2 linked regions of the Cricetulus griseus genome follow. The protein of the gene in region 1 binds, or shares a complex with, the protein of each later gene. Links are inferred from orthologs where the notes say so. Each region holds a gene or a part of one and is shown in the gene's direction. Other genes may lie near its edges.

Region 1 (3,653 bases):
CAGATGCAGCTGAAGTGAGGGTCCAGCAACAGACAGCAGCCAAGACCAAGCTGTCCTCTCAGATCTCAGACTTGCTGACGAGGCCAACCCCAGCCCTGAACAGTGGAGGAGGAAAGTGAGTCAGTTCTTCTCAAAGCCTTTTTATCTGTGCCTCAGACGTTCACTTTTAGTAAGGCTTCTTTTTAGGGAGACAATGCTAACTCCAGACTCTCCACTGTTGCCAACCTGAATTTTCCATTTTCCTTCTACCTTACTTACCTTTTAAGTGAGTTGGGAGGGGGGAGAACACTGTCAGATCCTACAATGCACAGAAGTCCTTTAGTTTGCTATGTATATTAACAGGATTTCTGTCTGCTAACTTGGGTAGATGTACTGTGAGAAACTTTTAAGAAAGCCTGGGTTTATTGTGCTTTCAGTGGTGCTCCTCATTTCTTTAGCACTTTTGACTGTGACTAGTCCTGTTCGTGGCCTCCACATTGCACTGTGGTAGTGTAGTCTCCTATTTCCTGCCTCACTAGACTGCAGAGCTCTGGAGTGCAGAAGTTTGACTTAAGTCATGCATTGGTACAGTGGTGGCTGCTGTTAGCTGCTCAGGAGCTGAGGCAGGAATCATTTGGAATTCCAGGCCAGCCTGCACAATAAAGCACTACCCCATCTCAAAACAAAATAAAAAATAAACAACTGAGTATGTTGGTGCACTCCTTTAATCTCAGCACTCAGGAGGCAGAGACAGGTGGATTCAAGGTTGAGTTCGAGACCAGCCTGGTCTACAGAGCAAGTTCCTAGACAGCAAGGGCTACACAGAGAAACCCTGTCTTGAAAAAAGAAATCAGTAAGTAAAAACAAATTAATAAAAATAAGCAAGGGTATTATATCTTAAGAATTATATATAAAATATATAAAGGAATTATATATAAATACATAACTTAATTACCTGAAAAGAATATATGCCTACAAAAGTAGGTAGCCTGTGTTTTCTGTCTGAGTTAATTCCTAGTCTGGAAAAAACACACTCCGTCTCCCGTCTCAGCTTTCTGGGAACTGCATGAAGCATTTCTGTTGCCAGTATTTTTCAAGGTCTGCTGTTAACACAGTAAATTGGACTTGGATTTATTTATATTAGTGTATTATAGATTAATTTGAGAAATTAAGAGACTGAACCTTGTAAATGATCTATTACAGAGGTTCTCAACAAGAAGGTTGTGACCCCTTTGAGGGTCAAATGACCTTTTCACAGGGGTCAAGTTATACCATTCTGCATATCAGATATTTAAATTATAATTCATAACAGTAGCAAGTTACAGTTAACGATGTAGCAACAAAAATAATGTTATGTTCCAGGGTGACCACAGCATGAGGAACTATGTTAAAGTGTCACAGCATTAGGAAAGCTGAGAACAACTGGCTTACAGGGTGTTCTTAGTCCTTCAAGTTGTTAGTTGCCTGAATTAATTAATCTCTCTCAGGCTTTGAAACTACTTGGCTACACTGTAGGACCTTTGTAGAACATGTCTGTTTACTCCTTTGTTATTTATTGTGATGGAATAAGGTGGGGATTTAGTGGGGTTTTTGTTGTTGTTTTGTTTGTTTGAGACAGGGTCTCTATGTAGTCACAGCTGTCCTGAAACTTACTATGTATACCAGGCTGGCCTCAAACTTGAAGAAATCTGTCTGCCTCTGCCTCTCGAGTGCTGGGGTTTAAGGTGTGTGCCACACATCCATCAGGCTTTTGTTCTTTTTAACAATTAATATGAGGGAGTGTGGTAGAACTTTGTTTTCAGTAGTTCTTTTGGTTCCCAGTAGTGTTCATGGAATTCCTCTGTGTGTCAGGAAAGAGGCCCTCAAGCCAGGGCAGCACTCAAAGAGCATTCACACACTGGGAAGATCTGTGTGAAAGAATGCACAGTATAGGTGGAGAGGTACAGATTTTATTGAGCCAGATAGCATTGTCTGGGAAGTAAGTCATGTGTTTTATGTTAAATGTGTTTCCTGATAAATATTTTTAGATGTGCTTACTGAGACCAAACTTGTGTCTTAGAGCTCTTGAGGCTGTGTTTGACTCAAACTGATGTCCCTTTTGCTGGTGCAGCACGAAGGTACCAGTAGAATCCCAGGTCAACTTCATGATCACCTGTGTTTCTCTCTCAAACATCATTTCAGATTGCCATTTACATTTGTAACTAAGGAAGTAGCTGAAGCCACGTGTAACTGCCTCCTTGCCCAGGCAGAGCAGGCAGACAAGAAGGGGAAGTCAAAGGCTGCGGCAGAGCGGATGATACTTGAGGAGTTTGGACGGTGTCTGATGAGCGTCATCAACTCTGCAGGGAAAGCAAAAAGTGACCCTTGTGCCATGCACTGCTAACTCCTGCACAAAAGCTGCACGTGGACTGTACAGAAAACTTAAGGTTCCGGAACACTTGACTTTCTAGAAGATAGTTTAACAATTACTGTATTTTAATTCAGCCCTTGTTTTAAGAGACCTGAAACTATAATATTGAATGAGAAGAATCTTTAAATGAAGAAATTAGTACATTTTAAATCTTAGTTAATTCTGCCTATGTCCCTTCTAAATTTTTTCTTTAAATATTTTTCCTTTATTGTATTACATATTTTTTAATTTGCTTGGGTTTCTTAAGAATTAGATGTTCTGTCCTTCTGATTCCATTGACAAAGTACATTCATAAATTATTGTAATATCATTTATAATGTATGGTGTTGTATGACTTTGTTCAGTAGAAAAAGCCAAAGCAGCTACCCATTCTTTGGCTCCAGACCCAGAGCATTCACAGGTAGAATGTCCACATACCCAGATTCTTAATGAAACATATAACATTTTGTCTAGAAAAACACCATCCTTTTAAAGAAAAATCAGCTTTTTTGGGTGGATTCTGGAATACTATCTGTTGTCTCTGGGAAATCAGAAGGGGAAACAATCCCAATCACACTTTTCAGATATTCAAGTTGTCTTTTCTTTAATGAAAACAAAATATTAAGGGACAGACGGATGGGCAGTGTGTCTCTGTGATGAGGAATGGCTAACATGTTCTGGGATGTCTTTATTTTCTTTGAAGGAGGTGGTATGTTTTACAATAATTGTCAAAGTCATTATGGATAAGTACTTTAAAATGAGAGATGGTGTGAACTGAAGTAAACGTTTTATGGCAAGATAATGTAGGACTCATGAGCATCAAGTACAAAATTTGACTTGGATGGAGAAGCAAGGATACAAAGCTTTGAGATTATGTATGATGAAGTTTTTATCCACACAGTTCTCTGTATCTAGACTTTTGGAACTAAGTTTGAATCAATATGTGTTACCTGATTTATTGAACGGGCCTCCTAGCAGCTTTCACAATTGTCGTGAGCTATCTTCTTATAAAGGCAGTTTAATTCAGCAATGCTAAAGCCAGTGATTTGGTAGGCTGAAGTATGTGTGTTCTCATAATTGCACAAATTAACCTAAATCATTTTCAGTAATTAAAAACTGTATGCTCTTAGGAACCTATTGTAATAGGACTCTTGAGTTTATAACAAGGGAAAACTGTGTTGGAATTGAGGCATTTTGTAAGGTACCTTAATCCTTGCTAACTAATAGCATATGCTTATTACCCTCCTACAAGGATTCTATAGTTGTATGTAGTAAGTGTGTATAT
Region 2 (3,298 bases), on another chromosome or scaffold:
CTTCCTGTTTTTATTCCTGTCTGCAAAAAGAAATGTCTGCCCTGCATTAATGAACCTGTATGTTTTTAACTTACTTGCTAGTGTAAACCAAGGGTTGTGCTTGGATGCTGAAGTGGCCTTAGCGACTGGGCAGTTTCCTGCCCCAGACAGTCACCAGTCCAGTAGTGCGGCCTCTCACTGTTCTGAGTCCCGCGGCGAGACCCCTTGTTCATTCAACGATGAAGACGAGGAAGATGAGGAGGAAGATTCCTCCTCCCCAGAATAAAGACAGGAAAAAACTCATGTTTTAACCTTTGATGCTCATGTGTGTCTTTAGTGTGAGCTCTTGTGTTTTGAAATGATTGCTTCAGTCTTTGCCTTTGTTTGCATTTGTGTTTAGTGAAAACTAGAGAAACACAATAAGCAAATTACATGAAGGCTGAGATGATTGAAATGAAAGTTAATGTAGCGTGAATGAAAACTAAGCAACAGCAGTAGGTTACATCGTCAACAAAGCATGCTTTCTGCAGAGAGAGAGGGAATAATCCATGAAGAATGGCAGTGAATGAGGTTTGTTTTCAGGGAGGTGGGGTTTGAAGACCCCACAATGTATAAGCATTTAGACTTGCGATTGCTGTGAGTATGCAGTGATGATGGTTTTCTCCCTTGTCGGATTGCCTTTTATAGGCAAAAGTGAACTTGAAAGTCCCAGTGGGTGTACAGTGAGGGATGTAGATTGCAGGCTTGTGGCCTGAGGAGCACAGATGAACTGTTGAGCTAGCCGGAAGTCTAGCTGAGGTGCTTTGCGCATCTGCTGCCTTAGCTTCTAGAAGGGAGCAAGTGCTACCTTATAAGTACCTAGTTGACATTTAGAATAATTTACAGAACACTGAAGTGACCATTTGTCAATGCATTGGTGCATAGGAGTTTCTAGGGCTACTTCTGGGAGCCAAAATAGAATAGCATTTCCATGTGCATTAAAACTTCGCCAGCACTGCCTTTTGCCAGCATTCTAAATTTGGAGTTTTACTGAGAAGGAAACTGTATTTACAGTTTTAATCAAAGCTATGCGTTTCATACAGCTTTTGAATTTACAGTTGAACAAAGAAGCAAATTCTTTGACCAAATTGCTTGTCCATAGCTGTCTGCAGTACTGTATGATTTTACCCGTGTGCAATTTGTGAAAATGAACCAAATGTCATTACTTTTGTCTTTATTTCAAGAATATGAACATCATTGTTCTCTTATACATGTTATCTTTTTCATATTTTAATTATCAAAATGATCTTATCAGATTTATTCCTGGGTAAATTGCATTTCAAACTAACTCAATATTCAGTGTTTTTGTTAAAATCTTGAACCCTCCAGTTGACTGCATCTGTGCTATCGTGGCATGTCATTCGTGGATACAAAGCCAAAGTTGTTGCCATGAAACTACTGCAGTGTGTCTGTGATTTCTGCTTCTCTCAGTAGGGGAGCACGGGACATCCACTGCCAAGCCAAACCCAACTTAACTAACACATTAAGGCCTTGAAAGAGGGCAGGGAATGGAATCAATTCTGAAGCCAGTTGAAGTCGCATGTGTTTGTCCTGATCCTGTATATCTGGTGTCTGTGGATCCTGTACCAAGCTCAGTCCAAAATGCTGCTCTTTTTAGTCCTATGGGGGAAGCTTGAGCTGGAAGCAAAAGCTTTGGTTGACTTAAATGTTGTGAGGCCGTTAGCGTGAAAATACGAGTGTGCAGATACAGCTTAGGTTCCTTTGAGAGGAGACTCATTGTATCAGAAGGAAGCTGTAGTGCAAACCTGAGTGTGCAAGGGGCACAAAGGTTCTGGCAGGTTGTGTTGGCATGAGTTCTAAAACACACATCTTAGGCTGTCAGAGCAAAGTGGTCCATATGCAACAGGGGCTACCTCCCGTTAGTGCCTCATTTCTGTCTCTGTACTTAAGGGAGCCTAGCAGAGACCTGGAGAGATCAAGGGCAACAGTTGCTTTTTTAGTTTTCAAAATACTGGCCTACTGGTCCCAAGATGTTTCAGAACTTAAAGCAAATGCACACATTACACCCATTTCTTTTGCCAGGCAGCTAAATCCTTGCAAGAGTTCTCAAGGAACTTTCCCCCATTGTCTCATCCCTGCTGCTGTATGCTGGGCTTGAAAGGGGCAATCACACTGGACATGTTGTATGCCTCTAACCCCAGCATTTGGGAAATGGAGGCAGGAAGGTAGTCAACCTTGGCTACATACTGAGTTCAAGGACAGCCTGGGCTTCGTGAAATCCTTGTCTGAAGTGGGGCAACCAAAGACTCAATCTTTGTGTGCCTCGCCCTGGCCATCCTAGTTACCCCTGTGTCATCAGGTGCTGCTGGCTTAACACTGAACCAAGAGGATTACTTGTGATCCTAGACAGGCAAAGGAATCATCAGAGGTTTGAAACCAGCCACAGCTACAAAATGAGACCATAATGCAGTAAAGAAAGGAAAGCCTAAATTGAGATGTTGCAAAGGATAAACTCTGGTCTTCTTTATCGCCCTTAAACACCAAATCATAGTACAGGAATGGAAGGGGGAGGAGTTAAATTGTGGTCATAGCATCTGGCTTCTTTGTAGGTGGGGTACACAGGTTCCTTGCACACAGCTGTTACCCTCCCCCAGAGGTGCTGGGCACACTGCTTAATGTGTCAAGAGGCTTTTCTCTATTGAGGTTCAATTTCTCATGTGTATAACACTATTGTCAGTTCTCACTCTCCGTGTGAGGAACAGTTCCACCAGCTACACAGCTGTGCAGCAGTCGGTGCTTAGCAGGCTCCCTTTGCCTGTCCCCCACTGGAAGTCTGTTCAGTGTTTGCATTTATTGTGCCTTACATAGGAAGAAAGGGACTCAACAGAATCCTCCTCCCTCTGAAAGGTCCCCAGAAAACAGGCCAATGACCACATGCTCTGCATCTTTCTTGATTCTTTTTTTTTTTTTAAAGACTTTATTTATTATGTATACAGTCTTCTGCCTGCATGCCAGCAGAGGGCACCAGATCTCACTTAAGGTGGCTGTGAGTCACCATGTGGTTGCCAGGAACCGAACTCAGGACCTCTGGAAGAACAGCCAATGCTCCCATCCGCTGAGCCATCTCTCCAGCCCCTTTCTTGATTCTTTTAAAGTGGGAGGGAGGAAAATCTGCCATTTTGCCAGAATGAATGAGGAACTCCTCCTGTTAACAGAATATAATCAAAGCAGTAGCAGTACTCAATCGATAATTTTTGGAAGATAATTCCCAGTCTGTCCTCAGAAAGAATATCCCTATCAGACAATCAAGATGAAGAAG

Evidence for each region. The genes of interacting proteins can lie anywhere in the genome.
Region 2: Lin54 (region 1) and Tfdp2 share a complex: the UniProt entries of both Homo sapiens proteins name them as parts of the DREAM complex. The link is inferred for Cricetulus griseus from reciprocal best matches to the Homo sapiens genes LIN54 and TFDP2.

Annotation. Positions count from the first base shown.
Region 1 is NW_023276807.1:162,482,509-162,486,161, reverse strand, and holds part of Lin54 (protein lin-54 homolog), read left to right. Parts: coding exon 1-115; intron 116-2,160; coding exon 2,161-2,362; 3' UTR 2,363-3,653. UniProt on the Homo sapiens protein: Component of the DREAM complex, a multiprotein complex that can both act as a transcription activator or repressor depending on the context. In G0 phase, the complex binds to more than 800 promoters and is required for repression of E2F target genes.
Region 2 is NC_048597.1:204,909,632-204,912,929, forward strand, and holds part of Tfdp2 (transcription factor Dp-2), read left to right. Parts: intron 1-81; coding exon 82-265; 3' UTR 266-3,298. UniProt on the Homo sapiens protein: Can stimulate E2F-dependent transcription.